Linked DNA regions of Canis lupus familiaris. The protein of the gene in region 1 interacts with the protein of each later gene in a pairwise test. Links are inferred from orthologs where the notes say so. Each region holds a gene or a part of one and is shown on either strand. Other genes may lie near its edges.

Region 1 (10,999 bases):
TTTGAAATATTTGAACTCCAGACAGCTCACTATATCTGAAGGGACTGATCAACAAATTTCTCTCCACTAATGTGTCTGGCTGTCTGACCAAATCCTCCAGACCACTGTGAGACTCTGCTATCATTGTAAGTGATACCCACAGTTCCTGATCGTGATCAGATCTTTAACATAAAGGACACGAGTATACTTTTCAATATTTCTGAGCACAGAACATTTAAAAATGCTATCGACATCCATTTTAAAGAATTGAAAAAAAAATTGGCGCCTTACAAAACAAGAACGCTCTTGCTTTTCCTTCCAGAGCCATGGAAAACATTAAAGCTTAAGGTATCTCTAGAAAATAAGTCCATCAATTTTCTGGTTCTACTAAGACTGTCGCTTCAACCCTCAGTTCGATATTAAGTCTGGAAAGGAAAAGTAATGTTAAAAAAAAAAGGAATGTTAATTGGTAGGTCACAAGAGAGAAACTTTCCTATGTTTTCTTCACTTTGTGAAATCACATGAGTACTAGCAGTCAGATGTTCAATAATTTCTACCTCTCTTTGTTTACTGATAATCTGAATGTCATTAACTTTACTCACCTTGCATTCAATCAGGATCAGCTGGAGTTTGCTTATGGGTCCTTAACTTCAACTCTCAAGCTCTAAGCCAAAAGTTGCTGCTCTGAGGTACTCATATTCCCTCTGGCTATGCCAGGATCACGCATTACAAAGAAGATATTTGCATCCTATTTATCACTCTCCATCCGGAAGCATCCACATAGGCGTTGCTCTGTGTGGATGCGGGTGGGGGGGTACGTGAACCTGTCCAATCACTAAAAGTCACTTCTCACTGGCCTTGAGCGTGACAGGCCTACAATGGCAGGGAAGAGGGAGGGAAGGGAGACACATTGGATAAACCATGGTCAAGTCCAGCCAGCTTCCCTCCTGATGTAGACCATAACATTCTAGAAACAGGAATCAAGAAAATCAGCTTATGTTCATTATTTATACAGATGAAGTGACTCAAATGTTCTCCAAGGGCATCATTTGATTTAGAGGCAGAAGTAATGGAGATCTTATCCATTACAAATCTTATCCATTACTTTTTGTTTTGAACATTGTTTTATCTAGGAAAAAAAGGATAAATCCTTTGGGAAAGTAGAATGGATTTCTTTTGAGCACAGTGGGTGCTATTTGTCGTGGTCACTGGTTTCTTGGCCTCCAGACTCAAAGATGGGCAGAGGCTGGGGGGCTTAGGTAAACCCAGCAGGATCTGGGAAGTCAGGTAACACGTCTTCGTTAGAAACTCTACAAATGCGCCTGTTCAGAGAAGATGATTTTCTACATCCAAAGTCTATGGCCGGAAGAGAATTTCCTTGAAGACTTACTGAAACTGTGGAGGGTCTAGTTTTTTTGAGGTACATTCCCCTTTGGGGGAGCCATACCACATTGGGCACTTGTGGTAAGTTTTAAGATACTTTTGTCTTTTACATCCCTGCATTTAAAAATTTTACTAACAAAGGGTATAAAGAAAACTGTGAAAACTTTTATCAAACGTCTTTTATATCCACTGCTAGAACAGGACTCCTCAAAGCGGAATGCTAGTTAAATAGATCTGGTTAGTTGAATAGAAAGTTTACTTTTCAAAAAGAAAAGAAGAAAAAGAAAGTTTACTCTTCAAAACTTTGTCAGGTACTGAATAAACTCATAACGTTAAAAGCACCGTTTTAAAAAATGCAAATCCTAACGTCCCAGATAGTAAGCAAACTGTCCCAGTACCGCATGATCATACACACACTTCTGTTTATAGAACATTTATATTCATTGCATTAAAGATTTGGGGGGATTTTATCTAAAAATTAATCTGGTGAGTCACAGAAACTGTTGACAAATGAAATTCACAAAGTTGCTTCTGTATATTAAAGGGAAGAACATTGGCCAGACAGGAAAAGTAGCAAGTCCTTGAGCACATTTTCTTGTAAGTCTCCAGGGCTTTATGCATGTTGTTGCATCCGATGCGATATAATCTGTCAAATTTCAATAAAGTTGTTCATTCCAAAGTCCCGCCTTTTTAAAAAATATTTATTTGAAAGAGAGCTCGAGCAGGGGGAGCAGCAGACAGAGGCAGAGGGAGAAGCAGGTCCCCTGCTGAACAAGGAGCCCAATGTGAGGCTTGATCCCAGGCCCCTGGGGTCATGACCTGAGCCAAAGGCAGATGCTGAACCCACTGAGCCACCCAGGCGCCCCTGTTCTCATGTAACACACACATGTCTTTGGAGACCTTCAAACTTCTACTCCCTCAGCTGGACCCCGGAGCTTCCTAACAAACTTGAAGAACACCGTTTTGATGACTCACGTTTTGTCTCGTCCAGATCAGTTTCTTCTAAGACAGTACCTGGCTCCAGCCTTTCTACCTCTGTTTGCTTCTCTCCCTTCCTTGTACTTCTCTCTTCTGCTACATCAGCCTAGATTCTAAACTGAAGGCATTCTTAAGGTCTCCCCTGGTACAGGAAGAGGTAATCGGTGATGCTTAATTTTTAGAAACATAATATTTCCTCCCTGTATTAGGACAATAAGTCAACAGGCTCCACTGTTGAGTCAAATGCCTGTCCAACAGCTAGCAAATTCGGCTCTGCCTACCCATGCCTAAGGAATACTCAGTGGGAAGATAAAAACAAAACAGAACCAAAAAAAAAAAAAAACCCACACAAAACTTTTGAAATGAAATGAGATCCTAAAGCTGGTGGTATTAGCCAGAAATCTATTTCCATAGAGAAGTTGGCAGAATTTGGCTGGGCTCTCACATTACCGTCTACATGAAACAGGCACATCAATTTGCTTACCAAATAGGCGGGCTGCCCATTTCCATAAGCACATGAAACTAGAAGGAGATTAAAGTGAGGGGAGGCAAAAACAAAGAAACAAAACAAAACAAAAAAAACTGGCAGAAATCGATATAGTAGAGGCGCCTGGGGGGCTCACTCGAGTAAGCATCTGCTTTCGGCTCAGGTCATGATCCCGGGGTCCTGAGATCGAGTCCCCGGCTCGGTGGTTGGGCTCCTTGCTCATCTGGGAACCTGCTTCTCCCTCCCCCTCTGCCCCGCCCCCTGCTCGTGCGTGCTCCCCCCCTTTTTCTCAAATACATAAATAAATAATCTTTAAACAAATTTTAGGTTTTAAAAAAAGAAACCAATATAGCATTTTCTCTAAGGATGCCAGCAACCATCAGGTAACCTATCACATAAGTAAAAGGTGAATGCTAAATTAACACGACTTGGAATCACCAGGATTGGTGAGCATCCGTAAGGAAGCGTGACCAGGAGAGCAAGGAGTTCAACCCTGCAGGCCCAGCACACTCGATTCTGAGCCCGCGGCGGGCCGGACCTCGAGTGAGTGGTTCCAGAACCGAGAGGATCAGCTCTCCACTGCCCGGGTGACAAGGAGCAGACCCGAGAGATGGGTCTCATACCTAATTAACGTGCAGGGTGGCTGGAGGGGCGGAGGCTGGGGGTGGAGGGTGGACTCAGAAGGCGTGGCGGACTTTACACGACTGTCATTTGGGAGCTGGGTCACCCCGACCGAGCCCCTTCCCTGCGCTAAGCTTCAATTTTCCGGATCTGTAAGATAAGATGGGTTATACAGCTCTCTCACTTTCTGGGGCTTGAATGAGAAAGCTTATGTAAACGTTCTGGGTGCGCCCTGGGCGCTGAACCACGATTGAAAAAGAAGAGGGGGGAAAGAAACAACTCGAATGTTAGAGCAGAGTCCATGTTCTCTTTGCCCCGAAAGGCCCAGGGAAGGAGAGTTGTTTCTTTTTTCTTAAGATAATCAAGAAAGACATTATGGAAGGAAGGGTGTTAAAACTAGGTCTTGAAGGATATGAGTGATGGTAGCAATAATGATCCTAGCTGACATTTAAGGAAGACTTGCCTTGTGCCGGGCACTATTTAAAGCACCTTAAAAATATGCATTCATTTACTCCAGCGGGGGGGAGGGGTAGGCCACCCCCCCACACACCATCCTGTGGGGTATGTCCTAATTCAGTCACCTTATGGGGTGGTTAGGAAAAAAGCAACAAGTGATAAATCCATGTCCTAATTCCTTATGCTGAATTAGTAACACACAGCACTGCTTTGGGTGATACAGGCTGGTGTGGGCAAAAGCACCAAGATGGTGGGTTCAAATCCCTGTTCCATCTCTGTGCACCCCGGCATGTCACTCAGCCCTGCTAAAGCCCAGCTTCCCCATCTGTAAAGGGAGGAAAATAGTAACCACCTGGAGGGGTTCTGAGGAGTCAAGAGAAGATGGCAGTAGGATGCCCAGCACGCTCGCAGATGTTCCCAAATTCTATACCCCTTCCCCTCATCACTCCATAGGTAAAGTCAAAAAAAAAAAAAAAAAAAGGACCATAGGAAAAGTTAAAAACTCAAGATGATGAAATGACCCTCGAGGATAATATTTCAGTCTTCACCCCTCTTACCCGGGTCCTGGGGATGGGCGATCACGGGAGGCAGGAAGATGCCCCACGCACTCTCTTGTCAGCAAGCACCTGCCCTGTGCGTCTGGTACAAGCTTTCAATCCTGGGACTGCTTTCCTTAGAATCAGGTTGAAGCAGCCCCTTCCCGCCTGTGTTTTTGTGCCACTAGGTTTTTTCCAAATCAGTGATACGTGGCTGCTACTGCAGGAGTGGTCCGTGGACTGGAGTATCAGCGTGGCCCGGGAGCTCGAGAGACACGCAGACCCTCAGTTCCCCCCCAGACCTGGTGCATCGGAATCTGCATTTTGGCGAGGTCCCCAGGCGCCTCACGTGCTCATGAAAGCTTGGAAAGCCCTGCCCTAGACCACGATACCCTTGTACTACTTCTTAAACCCAGTGAAATTACCGTGGGCTGCAAGAATTTTCTAAGGTATCTGGCCGTGACCGTAACCGAAAGGCTCACCTGCCCCATCTTCCCATCACCACCTAAAATCCACCCCCACCCCGAAACCCCAGACTCTGGAAGACTTCAGGAACCTGAGAACGAGCACTCGTAGTGAAACGAACAGCATAAAAACCCAGGTAAATAAAAGAGGGTCAGAATGACACTTCTCTGGCTTTTCGGAAGCAGTTAGGAAGCCAACATGCAAAGTCACGGAGGGGCAATGCCTGCAGAGTAGTACGGAGAAAGCCAGCAGAGGAAGCACCCGGGGCTGGCTGGAGCCCACGGCCGTGTACACACCACCTGACAGCTCCCCTGAACGAGATTTTGAGCTGGGGTGGGGGTGGGGGGGTGACAGTAAAACCGCAGCGGGCCTCCCAATTACACGGTCTCATCCAAAGTCCCCGGAGGAGCCCCAGCAACGTCATATGCATCACTCTGAACCTGTCAGCCTGTCGGCTATGACCTCGTGTGGCCACCTGCCGCTGCAACGCACCATTGTGGCTCTCGATCGGCCGCCGGGGGTCCACCGCCGAGGGGTCAGTCTGCTCTTGCACGCACACAGGCGCGGCTGCCCTCCTTCCTTCCAGCGGCAGCGGACCGTCTCACATTTTCCCGGCGGCTGGGTCCGAAATGGCTACATTACTCAGTGCCCCCAAAACGTTTATTGTCCTGCAAGGGCCTTACACAATCCCACAGGAAACCACGCTCAGCACTTAGCCAACACTTGTTGATCTGATTGAATGCAACACAAACGGAGACAAAAGCGTGTTTCATAAAGGTTCCAATTTTGATAACCACAGCGCCTGCTTTTCCCGGGCAGCCCTCGGGTTCGTGCGATAACCCTGCCTTTGTTTAGAGAGCTCTGCGCTGGGAAGGACAAGAAACGAGCTCGGCAAAAGCCCGCTTCTGACGCTGACTTCTCCCACGAGCCAGGAAACCATGAGGTAACGCCAAAGAGCGCAGAGAATAAGCAATGAACACTGCAGCTCACCGCTGGCCGGAGGGGGGCCGGGGGGGTGGCAGAGAAGGACGGCAGTGTGCCCGAAAAGGAACACATGGGACAATTATTCAGGGACTCCCCAAGTGGAAAAGGGATCGCTCTGGCTAACGTGCCAGGCACCCAGATTGCGGTGAAGGAGCGTGAGTCCCTGGACATCGTCAGGACAGTATGACCTCTCTTGGCCCTCCTCGTGCCACCCTCCTCTCCGGTCCCCACTGACGGGCCATCTGTAATACGTCTACTGAGTTCTTCGAGGCTCTGCTCTCCACCGCCAACCGCCCCCCCCATCATCCCTCTGCTATGCAGGGACACGCCGTATCAACTCACACGTGGTCGGCTACGTGAGCCTATTTGGAAACATCTATGGGGTGATGAAATCTTGGGCTGGCCGCGGGGAGCGAAGCTACCGACTCTCCAAGGGGTGGTCTGTTGAGCGGACGCGTCCTGCCCAGAACCTACCATGTGCCAAGGGCTCCGTGAGGGGCTGCAGACCGTAGTAGGCCGGGCAGGGGCAGCCCGCACCTTCCAGGGCCTTCTGTCGGCTGCAGGCAGAGAACCCCAAGGGAAGGTCTAGCTGAGTAGAGCGCGTGGAAAACAGCTTGGCCGAGGCGCTGTTGACGTTTCTGCTTGAAACCCGCGTGGTTCGGGAAGGGGCAAAGAGCCCTTCGGAAGAATTCGCAAGAGGGGAGCTTACACCCTGAGAGCAAATGAGTCGCGGCTGGAGCCCCAGTAGCTCTTCGGGCTCTGGGAAGGCAGTAGGCAGTCATGCCAGAAACTCGGGGTGAAGCCGAGGACCGTGGCGCCGCTACTTGGCCACATGGGTTGATGCTACGCTCTGCGATGTGTATTTAACTCCACTGTTTAAACATGGTCCCCTGGCAGGAGACCAATTCTAGAAGGGACTGTCAATTTCGGGGTGGGGAAGGAGGTAGTGGTAGCGCCCTGGAAACACCTGGGCACAGTCTCTTAGGATCCCCATCCCTTCTGGGGCCTTGAGAGACTCCAGGGCAGCAGGGAGGGGTGGCTTCCTCCGAGTCAAGTGTCATAGATTTATTGACTTACTCCATTCATTCCCTTCCTCGGCCGCTTCGCCCCAACCTTCCCTTGGCTCTGGAAGGCATTTTCCGTGCCTTCAGTGTGATTCTAACCCGTTGTTGGCAACCTGCTGCTTCGATCACATGATTTAATTTGTTCCAGTTATAGCCTACATGGTCACCTGTACCCGGTGAGACCCTTAGGAATGTTCCCTAAAGCTTGTTCACGCAAGTCGTTAACAGGCGATGAGCTTCTGCAGGGATGCAGGAGATAATTCGACTTCCTGAGGTAAACAAGCTTGTCCACTTGGGAGGAGTAGCGCTCATCTTTAGCTAAGAAAGAACCTGAAAGGATCCATTGTGTGTGTGTGTGTGTGTGTGTGTGTGTGTGTGTGTGTGTGTGAGAGAGAGAGAGAGAGAGAGAGAGAGCGCGCGCACCACCTCTACTGCTACTTGCTGGTCTAAGTCGCCACCATCCCTCACCTGCAATGTCGCCCCTGCCTCCTGGCTGCTATCCCTGCTTCGGCTCTTGCTCCTGGAGGTCTGTTCTCCACTGGCTAGCCAGAGCGATTCTTTCACAAGCGACTCGAATCCTGCCACTCGCCCAGTCTGAACTCTCCATTGGTCCCCCCTTTTCTGGTCCCGGAGTGCGGTCTCTAACATCATCTCATCATGATTCTCCTAAAGCTGGCCTCCTCGCTACTCCTACACTATTCTAAGCACTGTCTGCCCCAGGGCCTTTGCACTGGTAGTTTCCTCTGCCCGGCAAACTGTCACAGACATCTGTCTGCCTGGTTCCTTTGCTCATCTCTGGGCTTTGCTTCAAATGGCATCCTCCTAATGAGCCCTACCTGGACCACCTTGTTTACTACTACAACCTCTCTCCACCCAGCACTGCCAGTCTCCCTTACTCTGCCCTACTTTGTCTTTTTCCACAGCACTTAACACCTTAAAACCTGATACATGATTTACTTACTTACTACTTTTTAAAAAAATATTTTTATTGATTTATTCATGAGAGATACACACACACACGCACACACACAGAGAGAGAGAGAGAGAGAGAGGCAGAGACACAGGCAGAGGGAGAAGCAGGCTCCATGCAGGGACCCCAACGTGGGACTCAATCCTGGGTCTCTAGGATCACGTCCTGGGCTGAAGGTAGGCGCTAAACTGCTGACCCACCCAGGGATCCTCTTTTTTATTACTTTTAATGTCTGTCTCCGCTTTTTAAAGAGTAAGTCCTGGGGGCATCTCTCTGCACCCAGAGCTTTTTCCATGGGAATCTCTTCACCGGGGATGCCACTCCATCACCTCTCGCATGTATTCCCCTGATGGTAAGAGGATCTCCTTGGAGGTTGGGATCTGATGTGAACAGTCAACACTTATTGGGATGGAACATTAAGGTATCACCTCTCCTAGAAATGCTTGCCTATTAAACCTCAGGCTCAGTGGTGGAGCAATTAGACTTGGTTCTTATGAGAGGAGATGGGTAAGTGGGGGATAGAGGTAGACATGAGAAGTTTTGCTGTTCCTTTTTGTTAGGACCTATCCTGATACATATGAAATCTTTACAGAGCCTGTTGGCACGCTATCAATTTTACCCTCTTTTTTTTTTTTTTTTTTTTTTTTAGTGGAGGGATTTGGGGCCCAAGATGGAGTTGGCAAACTATGACCACCACCTGCTTTTGTAAGTAAAATGTATCGGAGCACAGCCACATCCATTCCTTATATATTGTGCGCAGCGGCCTAGCGGAGTAGTTGCAACAGAGACCGTATGCCTGCAAAGTCTCAAATATTTACTATCTGGCCTTCACAGAAAAAAACTGCCAACTCATGCTCTAGGAGAGTCTTGCCAGCTGTGGAAATGACCTAGTAGATTGGAATTAAATTCGACAGCCCAACTCCACAGACGCTCACTGAATCATACTGTGTACATGGTGCCAGAGTTGGAAGTGAAGAAAATAGGCAAAGGAGGTGGCTTTATGGAAACTTTCCAGCCATGATTCCCACTTTGATTCAAATTATCTTTCCCAGAAATTTATCATGAGGAATTTCAAAATACAGGAAAGGTAAAAGAATTGTACGGCGAGCACCCATACACCTGCCATCTAGATTGGGCAATTAGATTTTGCTCTACTTGCTTTGTTGTATGTGTTTATCCATCTCTCTATCCATCCATCAATCCTCCTTTATTGGTCTTACTGCTTCTACTGCTACTACTACTCTGATCATTGTTGTTATTTCTGGTGCATTCAAAGGAAATTGCAGACACCAGTACACCTCATCCAGGAACACTTCAGCATCCTAACGTTAATTACCTAGAGGGGTTAAGTCAAATTAGCCTTTTATTTTAACTCCAATTCTGTGGTCTTGAAAGCAGTCTCCATTTACCCAGAAGACACGACCACATAAAAGCCAGAAACTGAGTAAGGTTAGCAGGGTAACTGAGGTAAGTATCAGGGGCATCACTCACCTTTCTCTACTTCCTTGGTTCAGAGATGAATCAGCCTTTCAGGGCCAAGACCATTTTGCTTGTGTTGAATTCTAGGAAATTTCTGTGGCTCAAAAGAGAGGGTCATAAGCTGTTTTTTTTCTGGAATGCTGCCAAAAACCCATGGGAAAGATAGGAACACAGTCCTGAGTTTCATGCAATCAATGGTTGATCACATGTAGCTTCTGGGTCAGAAGCCTGGGTGCTAGAACAGACCTGGTCTGTGCAGATTGCTCTCACGAGGGTGGAAGTGGGAGTCACTTATCCTCATCTCTGTTGGATGTATGTGGATGTCCTCAACCACCAGCACATTAATGACCTTTGTAAACTAATGCTTACAAAACACTCAGTGTCTGATTTGGAGCCGATGGATTTCCTAGGTTTGGTGAGTCTGAATCCCTAACTTGGAATATTCCAAAGGCATTTGTCATTTAATGAATGGCCGCTACAATGCTCTGGGAGGCAGATTACCAATACCTGACCAATCTGTGAGAAAGAATTTTTGAGCTGCGTGCTACGAGGAGAACATGGAAATGATGAAATATAGAAGATATCTGTGTATTTACATAAAATGTACCTTGGAGAAGAAAAATCAATAAGTCAAACAGAAGAGAAAAATAAATTGAGGAAAAAGTTCAAATAAAGTATGTCGACAATGTGGGTGCCTTTAAATATTATAGTGGTTTTACTTAGAATCATTTAGGGAAGGCTTTCTTTGCTGTCATGTTGGCACAGAGCTTTTTTTATGCTTCCCAGGAGCCTGAGGGCCATTGGTGATCTAAGTACACACTAATATGTCCAGCTGCCTGTTGGACACCTCCATCTGGATGGCCAATGACTAGGGTGAAAAGTGTGCCAAGTTCCACATACAGGGTCACACTTCTCATCTCCAAAGTGGGCCCCTCTAGCGGAACGTTCCATGCCCCGTATTCCATTTGAAAACACTTGTCCCTCTCTGACCTTGGTTTGTCCTCAGTTTAGGTCTCCTAGCTTTTCAGCCCTGTTCTTTTCCTGCACGGGGTCTGCAAAGAGAGTTCCGTGCCTTGCCCTACCAACGCAAGCCTCGGACTTAGTTTGCACCCATGACCGGCCTCTCAAAGACAAGAGGAAAGAGAAGCTTGGGCTCCTGTTTCGGTTTCGGAGGTGGAGGGTGTTCTGAGTCCCAGAGGAAACTCTGAAAAGGTGATAAACTGAAAGCGTCCCCAAGAGTGTTGCAACTCTACTATGGAAGTGGGTAACAGCGGACAGTGAGGCCCTTCTCTCCTGCTTCCTTTTAGTGCAAAGCTCTCCTTGTAAATGCTCCTTGTAACAGAGGAGCCTTTCAGGACACCTGAACCCCCAGGGTCACTGCGATGGCCTGGAGCATGCCACTTTTGCTCTCTCAAGTTTAATAATCCTTTAGCTTGCCGGGTGGCTGGTCACCTTGGTAACAACATCTAAATGGACACAGCCACGTTCTAAAAGAGTAAATCTTCATAAGAGTGTTTTTTTTATTTAGTCCAGAGAGCTCTAAAAACCCACCTCCTCTCCTCTTGCATGAAAGTATATTTTCCATTTGTCTAGTATC
Region 2 (10,506 bases), on another chromosome or scaffold:
GGATTACGAGACGGTGATGAAGCAGCTCAACAGGGGAATGGTGCACGCCGAGAGGCAGAGCCACTCGCTGCGAAACCTCAACATCGGCAACTCGTATGCCTACAGCAGGCCCGATGCGCTGGTCTACAGCCAGCCAGAGATTCGGGAGCACGCCCACCTCGCCTCCCCGCAGTCGGCCCACTACCCGTTCAGCCTCAACTACAGTTTCCACAGCCCGTCTCCCTACCCGCACCCCGCCGAGCGACGCCCGGTGGTGGGTGCTGTCAGTGTGCCCGAGCTGACCAACGTGCAGCTGCAGGCTCAGGACTACCCTGCGCCCAACATCATGCGGACGCAGGTGTACCGCCCGCCGCCGCCCTACCCGCCCCCGCGGCCGGCCAACAGCACCCCGGACCTGTCCCGCCACCTGTACATAAGCAGCAGCAACCCCGACCTCATCACCAGGCGCGTGCACCACTCGGTGCAGACCTTCCAGGAGGCCAGCCTGCCGGTGGCGCACTCCCTGCAGGAGGTCAGCGAGCCGCTCACGGCCGCCCGGCGCGCGCACCTGCACAAGAGGAACAGCATCGAGGTGGCAGGGCTGGCGCACAGCCTCGAGGGCCTGCGGCTCAAGGAGCGCACCCTGTCCGCCTCGGCCGCCGACCCGCCGCCGCGGCCCGTCTCGGCAGGCTCCCAGCCCGGCGGCTTCCCCGAAAGGGCCGAGCGGGACCAGGCGGACGAGCGGGGAGGCCTGGCCTACGGCCACAAGAAGTCTCTGTCTGACGCCACCATGCTGATCCACAGCAGCGAGGACGAGGAGGACCTGGAGGAGGACGTGGCCTCACTGGCGGTGCCTCTTCCACAGGCCCGCGCGCCCCGAGGCCGCCACTCCCCGGAGCCACCCCCACCGCCTCCCCCCGGCCCCTCCCGCGGCCCCGGCGGCCCCACCCCTGCTGCCCTGGGCCAGGGTGCCCTGCCAGGCCGCGAGCCCGTGCCTCTGCTCAGGGAGGCCCACCGACCCCGCAGAGAGGGGCTGCTCACGCCCTCCATGTCCGAGTCCGACCTCACCACGTCGGGGCGCTACCGAGCCAGGAGGGACTCCCTGAAGCAGCGGCCGGTGTCGGATCTCCTCTCTGGAAAGAAGAACGTCGTGGAAGGCCTTCCGCCGCTAGGGGTAAGCCAGTGGCGCTGAGGGCGCCAGGTGCGCCGGGTGAGCCAGGTGAGCCAGGTGAAGCAGGTGAGCCGAGGGCGCCGAGTGTGCGCCTGTGCCCCGGCGGGCTGCACTCTGCGAGCTCTCCTCATCCCCCAGGCCTCACACCCACACAATTTCTGTCGTATTTGGAACACTGAGTCTGATCGTCTATGGAAATAAGGGGATCCGTTAGCATTCTAGTAGTTTTGCTGGAGATCATTAGTGAAAGTGAAGCTTGGGATGGAAGTGGAGGGCAGGAGGAAAGGGCCTGGCGCTGCCGTGTTAAGGAAAAGGAAGATAAGACGCAAGCCTGCTCTGTTAGTGACCTGTGAGAAACCCCGTGGGGTGATGCAGCAGGGCGGGGCTGCATGTCTGAGAAGCACCCCCCAACGCAGGTGTTGCTGGTGTCCGAGTGTGTGGGTGCAGCTTGAATTCACCTGGCCATGATCTCTGAGGGTCTCACAGTGATCTGGAGCTGGGAAAGTGGCACTTTGTCCGGACCAAACACCTGAGAACTCTCAAGTGTCTTTATTTTATTATTTTTTTTCCAAGTGTCTTTAGAAAAAAGATTCCTTGGAGAAAATGCAGCTCTTTGATTCTCACGGTAAAAGTAACCAAGAGTTACGACTTCCTATTTATTTGGGGCAAAATATAAAAGCATAACATCACCTCTAGCTGCCATTCCTGGGGCATTTTTACCATGTTCTGAGACGCGTCCAGCTTACAACAGGCCTATTGTTTCTTGGGAAGAGAAAACAGACTCTGAGATGTTAATGTAGCTTTTCCAAGGTCACACAGCTAGTGGGTGACTGAACTGGAATTTTAAACCCGTGTTTATCTCTGCACCCTACTCTATCATATTTTACACTGTTCTACACTGAGGTATATTGTATATAATGTTTTATTAAGTAGCTATTGCTTATCTCAGCCTTGCTGTTTTCTCTCTTTCCACCCAAATGTTTTGAGTCACAGGCATTGGCCAGGCATGTGTGCCTTTGTCATTTAAGTGCGGCTCCTCCAAGTCACCTTGCTGCGTTGCTCAGGCCTCTGGTTCCTTGCTGCCCGTGCCGCCGTGCCGGGAGCCCCGCACTCTAACCAAGCTAACACGCTTAATTAGCCGATCCAGTTCTCTCAGCGCCCTGGCAGGGAGGACTCCTCCCCCACCTGATAGTCTGCATACTCAGGCTTGAGGACCCATCACAAGCATAGTATCTTCATAAACTGGAAGAAAACTCACAAATTTTGCAGTGTGTAGAGGTAGACTGAGACCCCTTAAAATAGTGCTGGGGATTTAAAAAAAGCCATGTTTGCTTTTGATGAATTTGGGGCTTGAACTTTTAAGTTTATTTTAAATTTTTCTTGGGATTATATTCTTCCCTACCTGAACAGTAAAGACCAGTGTGTCTCAGGTCGGGTGGAGTGGAAGGTATGGATCCTGATCAACTATTCGGGGTGGGGACAGGGTGTGGGTGTGTCTCTGAAAGGTAATTCTACCTCAGTCCCTGAGCCAGCTGGACAGGGTCCTTTTCATTTTTTTTATTTTTATTTTTATTTATGAATGATAGTCACACACAGAGAGAGAGAGAGAGAGACAGAGACACAGGCAGAGGGAGAAGCAGGCTCCATGCACCAGGAGCCCGACGTGGGATTCGATCCCGGGTCTCCAGGATCGCACCCTGGGCCAAAGGCAGGCGCCAAACCGCTGCGCCACCCAGGGATCCCTTTTTCATAGTTCATAGTAGTTTCCCTAATCACATCAAGAACTGTCCATCTTTGTTTGTGTGTGTGTGTGTGTGTGTGTGTGTTTAGAGAAAGTGTGTGAGTGGGGGGCAGGGGGAGAGGGAGAGAGAGACTCTTAAGCTGGCTCTCTGCCCAACATATGGAGCTTGATGTGGGGCTCCATCTCACCCCCCTAAGGTCATGACCTGAGCTGAAATCCAGAGTCAGACGCTTAACCACCTGAGCCAACCAGGGGCCCCAGAACTATCCATCATTTTTATGCATGACCAAAATATTTTTCCCAAATGACATTTGTTTTGAGTATAGTCCACTATTCACACATATGGTCCCTGTACCTTTTGAAGGGGATGTAGCAAGATCCCCCAAATCTGAGGCTTTTGATGAGTTTGGTTCTCTAAAAGGACAGGTTTCGGGGATCCCTGGGTGGCTTAGCGGTTTAGCTCCTGGCTTCGGTCGAGGGTGTGATCCTGGAGTCCTGGGATTGAGTCCCACATCAGACTCCCTGCATGGAGCCTGCTTCTCCCTCTACCTATGTCTCTGCCTCTCTCTCTGTCTCTCTCTGTATCTCTCATGAATAAATAAATAAAAATCTTAAAAAAAAAAAAAAGACAGGTTTCCTCCCTCGTTGACTTTAAGCCACAGTATTAGTACAATTTTGTGATTGGATTATGCTCTTGCTCCCTTTTTCAGCATAACATATTCTCCTTGCTTGAAGAACATGTATGGCAGCTGTGGCTCTGGGGAAAGGTATAGGACCTAAGAGTGGAAGAGCTTGGGTCTGAGGCTACACCCTCCCATTTATTAGTTCTCTGCCCCGTGGGCTGGACCCAGCAGCATCAGAACCTTCTCTCCCTCTGTAGCAGGGGACTGTCACCTCTGCCCTGCCTGCTGTGTTAAGTCCCACCTAAGGTTAGGCATGAAAAACACTTTGCAGATTCTATGATGGAACATAGATGACTCTAAAGAAAGGTTTTTATTGTTTTGACACTGGTTGCCATTTATAAAGAGGTGGCTCTGTGACCTTGGGCAAGCTGTTCCGCCTCTCTGACTCCTTTACTTATTTGTCACGTTTTCTTATTTGTGAGGGAAGCTGACCCCAGAGAGTTGTGGGCGAAGTGAGGTCGAAGTTAGCTTGTACGTGAGGTTGTCTCCTACTGACTTCCCAAGTACTGAAGAGCTCTACCCCCCACCTCGCTAAGCCCCTGGGCCTCCTCATAGTCCCGTGGGGTTGCCGTGACCTTCACTCTTACGACCTTCACTGTTACTACAGACGGACTTAGTTTCCATACTCACATGTGAATTAAGGTTATGGGAGTTTAGTATTAAAAACAGTGAACCAAGTTGCAGACAAGCAGAAACACTTTAGAGTTCTCCACCCGTCTCCACTCCCCGGAACCTGATTGCTATCTGAAAAAGAGTGGGCTGGTGGGAGTGCTCCCACAGCCTGGTACAGATTTTGCTCCTGTGCTCGCTGGGTCCCGGGTGGTGGTTCTCACAGAAATCACAGCGGGGCAGCGCCCTGAACCCTTTGGGTCCACCATGCTCCAGGGCGGTGCTGCTTTTGACTGTGTGTGCCTTTCTTCACCCACTGGCTTTAGACCTTGGCCTTCCAGCCGGCATGGTAGGGCGGCCCTCCTGACCTCATTCTCAGGCGGGGGGCAGCTGGAGCCACCTTGTCCTGGCTGGCTAGAGCTGGCTTGAATTGTCAGGAATCTGGCGAGCCCCTTGATGTTCCCTTGGCAGCTTGAGTATTGGCATCGGGGAAACTGGCCAACGGGGCCAGTCAGGACCCTCCCTCCCAGAGCCCCCCACCAGTTGTTAAACAGCAGCAAACCAGGGTTTTCTGCCCAAGTCAGAATCGTGACAGTTTAGCCCGTGCAACAACCTCTCCACCTCCCCTGCCCGGACTGGTAGAGCTGGGGTGTAAAGCTCATTTCCTTTGTGAGACGTGAGAACACCCTGTCACAGCACTGTGGCAGTTGCTGTGGCCCCCCGAGGAGGTGTGGCATGTCTGAGGAGACTGCGCCTTCTTGGGCTCATCTGCCGAAGAGAGGAAGATCATTACCTATAGTCACGTTAGGAGATGCGCATCTCCAGGAGACAGATGCCCTGTCCTGTAGCCCATCTTCCTGGCGTCACCATGGAGATTTCAGTCCTCTTTGATTTTCCTAATTAAAAATGTGCCCGTTCTGAGAGGTGTCACCAATCCGACACAGGTCCCACCCGTCAGAACAGAGAGCAACCACAGAAAACACTTCATCTTTTCAGAATGACTTAAAAGAACTAGGTTATATATTTTTAAAATATCACAAAAGCCTATTGCAGTCACGTAACTTCGTGTAAAACCCATTTTTTGTGGATTGTCACTGATTTTTGTGCGCGTGTCACGTGTTGAAATTTGGGAGTTCTATGGAGGAATGCTGCCTGCCTGGAGCCGCACCTTTCGTTACTACAGAGACTTGAATTGTATTTCAAAATCTTCTATCTGCAAGACTTATCAGGGCTTTGGCCTTGAAAGGAATGTCTTCTTCCCAATGTTTGCTAAACAAATGTGCGTGTGGAGCGTAATCTCTCCCGTGCCTGTGGGTGAAGGAGAACACTCCTTCCCTTTGTTTCAAGTCCTCAGTACCCTGAAATTGCCTTTCAAGGGGGTTGTATTCGTGTATATTTCATATATACATATATAAATATTTTTATAGGGAATGAAGAAGAGCCGGGTAGATGCTAAAAAAATTGGTCCTCTCAAGTTGGCTGCCCTAAATGGACTCTCCCTCTCTCGACTGCCTCTGCCAGATGAAGGAAAGGAAGTGCCCGCCAGAGCCACCAATGACGAGAGGGTATGTACGAGACATATGGATATACTGGTATGCTTTCTCTGGAACGATCCATAAAGGCCAAGTGCCTTCTTGAGATTTTAGTCACTTTGCTAATCTAATCATCGTAAATGAGTGTTAAGGCATTTTATAATTTGGACCTCAAAGTTGGGACAAATCTAATATGTTAGATAATTTTAGAGTAAATGTCGGTTCTGTTTGTTGGTTTCTGAATGTTCTTTACCTTCTTCCAGCCTTCTGCAGCAGTCTTGATTTTTTGATAGCTTTTCAGTTTAGAGGAATTCTACAAGTACACATGAGTACACACAGGAAAGAGAACACTGATTGACTGCTTTCGTTGTACTGAAAATTCATCTCAGGAGTAAATAGTTCCCGAATTTTTCACGACTTTCTTGGTAACCAAGATATATTTGCTATGAGGTTATATTATATCAAAATTAGGCATGAAATAATGCTAAGTAAAAATTAATTTGCTTACAACTGGATCCTGGAGATAATTTCAGTATTAACTCTTTTTTTCAGTTTCTGTATATCATAGATCAGAAAACAAACAGAAGCCTTTGTTCATAGAGGTTGGAATTGATTCTCCTACGTACGCTAGGACTTACCGTTCTCCAGGAGAATTTTCTCTCTCTCCTAGGAGTCACAAAATTGACCATAGATTTAGAGAAAATTAATCCAACCAATTATTTTAGACCAGTTTTCACTTTTAAATAGAACTCTGCATTCTGCTTCTCACCAACAAGGTGCTTTCATTTGTTATTTTAACTCTTAGCGTTACAGCTTATTAAAAATTTAGCTGTGGTTTCACCTAGAGTTTTCACTACTAGATAATGCTAGACTTAAAGTGGGAAGACAAGGTTTCAGATATGCCATCAGAATGCAGTGTGGACAGGGACCGCCTGGGTGGCTCAGCGGTTTAGCACCTGCCTTCAGCCCAGGGCATGATCCTGGAGACCTGGGATCGAGTCCCACGTCGGGCTCCCTGCATGGAGCCTGCTTCTCCCTCTGCCTGTGTCTCTGCCTATCTCTCTCTCTCTCTCTCTCTCTCTGTCTCTCATGAATAAATAAATAAAACCTTAAAAAAAAAAAAAGAGAGAATGCAGCATGGATATAGGACAATACTGATCATCCCATACATTCTGTTTTACAGTGTAAAATTCTGGAACAGCGGTTAGAACAGGGAATGGTATTCACAGAATATGAAAAAATTCTTAAAAAACGGCTGGTTGATGGGGAGTGCTCAACAGCACGACTCCCTGAAAATGCAGAAAGAAATCGATTCCAAGATGTCCTTCCCTACGATGACGCCAGAGTGGAGCTGGTCCCAACTAAAGAAAACAATACGGGCTACATCAACGCGTCACATATTAAGGTGAGAGGAGCGAGCAGGGCTACAACAGGCTGTGAAGTTGTGAGTTCAGCTACAGGAATGATGAGAACTGTATCCACGTCTATGTTCTAAAAACAGGCTAGTTGGAACCATTGGGACAAATTATGTTATTAAGCTGGGAAATCCATACACCTGGCCGGGTGGGAGGTGTTTTACCAATAGAGCCAAAGCCGCATTCGCCCTCCCACGTGCTAAGCCCTGTGCCCCCCACACTGCTGCCAGGAGTCAGGGAGCACTCTTTGGCCTGACCTGAGGACCTTAGGACTTCGTTCTTCTAAATCTAGAGATTTCTTTCTGGCCCATCGATTATCTCCAGAGTGGCAGAATGGCTAGTTTTTCGTGATCACATACCTGCATTGATTCTTATGTGGCAAAGATGTCTGGGTATTTTGGTTTTTGTTTTGAAATTATTTGTATATATAATGATATATTAATTATTAATATATTATTAACATATTACAATATATAATATGTTAATAATATATATAAGTATATATTTATATTTATAGAGCACACGTGAGAGAGAGCACACACAAACGTGCGTGAGCAGAGAAGAGCAGAGAGAGGATCTTTTCTTTTTTTCTTTTTTTTCTTTTTTTTTAATATTTTTTATTTTTTATTTTTTTTTGAGAGAGAGGATCTTGAGCAGGCTCCATGCTCAGCACAGAGCCTCGACTTGGGGATCAGCTTCACAACTCTGAGATCATGACCTGAGTCAGAACCAAGAGTCTGAGGCTTAATGTACTTAGCCTCCCAGGAGCCCTGTCTGGGTGTTTTTAATGGTGGTCACCAAACCTTTTCCGCGTGTCGTCTGTTCTCTTTGCATCATTCTTGTCATCACTAATTTTTTTTTTTTAAGATTTTATTTATTCATTCATTTATTTATTTACTTACTTATTTAAACATGAGTGGGGGTGAGGGTAGAGGGAGAAGCAGGCTACTGGCTGAGCAGGGAGCCTGACTTGAGGCTGGATCGGGACTCTGGGATTGTGACCTGAGCCGAAGGCAGCCGCTAAACTGAGCCACCCAGGTAGCCTTCCTGTGATCATGTTTTGTTTTGTTTTGTTTTTTTAAAGATTTTATTTATTGATTCATGAGACACAGAGAGAGAGGCAGAGACACAGGCAGAGGGAGAAGCAGGCTCCATGCCGGGAGCCTGACGTGGGACTCGATCCTGGGTCTCCAGGATCACACCCTGAGCTGAAGGCAGCGCTAAACCACTGAGCCATCCTGGCTGTCCTGGGATCATGTTTCAATATCGTTTTTGTTCTTTGTGGAAGCGGTGCCGCTTTTTCCCGAGGGGCAGTGTGATGCCATTGAACTGGGGTCATGTTACACCCATTAAAATGGGAAAAAGTGATGATTCCCACCTGGTAGGTGAGGGAAACCAGGGGCTCTCTCTTCTGCATCATTGTACATTTTGCATGTGCTGCTTGGAGATACAGTCCTTTTATTTTGAGAAGGAGAAGCTTCCTTGTTGGGAGTGAATGAGGAAGTATCCATGGTCAGGTATCTATCTTCTTGCCCACATCTTATTTCATTTGCAAGTGGTATCTGATGAGCGCAGTTTCACACTCGCTTTCAGAGACCTGGCAGTCTGCCTGTGGATGCCAGTACCCTTCATGGTCTTTGGGAATCTGCATGTGCTTTTTAATATGGGTATAGGGGCACCTGGCGGGGGCTCAGTTGTTGATCATGTCATGATCCTGGGGTCCTGGGATCGAGTCCCGCATCGGGCTCCTTCTGCCTGTGTCTCTGCCTCTCTCTGTGTCTCTCATGAGTAAATAATATCTTAAAAAAAAAATAATTTGGGTATAATTTATTTAAAAACCAAGCATTTCTGTGGAATAACTCATCCAGCCTCTTGTGACTGGATGGGTGAGAACTGAATCAAGTTGTCCTGTGTGGGTATTGCAGAAGCTACCGAGGTCAGCTGAAGAGCATGGAAGATGGCCAAGCCTCAGAGCTCCTAGATCTGTTACCTGTCAGCATGGGGCTCCCTGTGCTTTCCTCTGAATAAAGCGCTGACACCTCCCCTGGGGTGGCCCCAGACCCCCACCCACACCCTGTTACTCACTGTGGTGCTGGTAGCACCGAGGGAGCCCCTCTCAGTGAGATTCCAGCCGGTGGCCCTGAATGAAAGTATGGGCAGAATAACCCAGGCACTGTGGTCACCAACATGGGGCGGGGGGGGGGGGGGGGGGGCGGTGGGCTTTAACCCAATCTCCTGGCCGTAGATCCAGCAATGGCTCTGTTCCCTTAGACTGTCCTCAAGGGGATGCAGCCTCAGGTGGAAGCTTAGTGTCATTCTGGAGGGTGACCTTGACTTAGAAGTTCAGAGGGGAGACCACTTTCAGTAGGAGTATTTTTTTCTGCCCCAGAAATCTGGCATTTAACCTCGGTTTTGGCTGGATTGTTACTACTTTGCCTACTGTGTTTAGTACTTCATGAAGGGAAACTGTGTTTGAAATTTAGGATACTGTTATGGTGATACTGTTTTTCTAAGAAGAACCGTAACAGCAGCACTAACAACTGTGTATGGAAAACCTATTGATGTGCAAGCACCTTATACACTGACTAATTTAGTCCTGCCAACCACCCTATGAGGTACAGGACATTTTTATCTTACACATGTGAATAGAGAGAGAGGTTAAGCAAATTGCCCCAGGTCATGTAGATATGTGAATTTAGAGTCCATACATTTATAATCCGGTAGTAATAGGAATTGTATTAACAAGGAAAAAGAATAAGAGAAATCTTTATTCTGAATAACTCATTTTTTAGTACCACCATAAATGAATGTGCATACATGTATGCATATCTACATAAATACACATTGATTAATTTTTAAAGATTTATTTATTTAGAGAGAAAGAGGTTGAGAATCCTACGCAGACTCCCCACTGAGCTGCGTGCCCAGCATGGGGCTCAATCATACGACCCTAAGATTATGACCTGAGCTGAAATCTAGGGTCGGCTGCTTAATTAACTGAGCTACCTGGGCGCCCCACATATTAATTTCTTTAAAAAATCTTTTCTAATTTCAGGTCTCTGTCAGTGGAATTGAGTGGGATTATATTGCCACGCAGGGACCGTTACAGAATACCTGTCAGGATTTTTGGCAGATGGTGTGGGAACAGGGAGTGGCCATTATAGCAATGGTGACTGCAGAGGAGGTAAGGACTCATCTCTCTTCCTTGATTTGGTCAGCCTGAGAGGAGCAGTTAATGTTGGTCACGGGGAGTCCTGGCCTTGAAGGAAGAAGGCAGAGTGGGGTTGCAGTTCTGTGCTGCAGACACACTGCGTGATGGGGCCCCCGTGGCTGGATGCAGTGCTGCGTCCTGACCGTGCCTGCCTTTAACAGGAGG

Evidence for each region.
Region 2: the proteins of BMX (region 1) and PTPN21 interact in binary tests that used the Homo sapiens proteins (3 or more experiments, as listed by UniProt). The link is inferred for Canis lupus familiaris from reciprocal best matches to the Homo sapiens genes BMX and PTPN21.

What each region holds. Positions count from the first base shown.
Region 1 is NC_049260.1:11,781,379-11,792,377, reverse strand, and holds the start of BMX (cytoplasmic tyrosine-protein kinase BMX), read right to left. Parts: upstream 5,612-10,999; 5' UTR 5,401-5,611; coding exon 5,398-5,400; intron 405-5,397; exon of another isoform or gene 271-404; intron 1-270. UniProt on the Homo sapiens protein: Non-receptor tyrosine kinase that plays central but diverse modulatory roles in various signaling processes involved in the regulation of actin reorganization, cell migration, cell proliferation and survival, cell adhesion, and apoptosis.
Region 2 is NC_049229.1:60,038,222-60,048,727, reverse strand, and holds part of PTPN21 (tyrosine-protein phosphatase non-receptor type 21), read left to right. Parts: coding exon 1-1,153; intron 1,154-5,610; coding exon 5,611-5,748; intron 5,749-6,898; coding exon 6,899-7,120; intron 7,121-10,185; coding exon 10,186-10,314; intron 10,315-10,502; coding exon 10,503-10,506.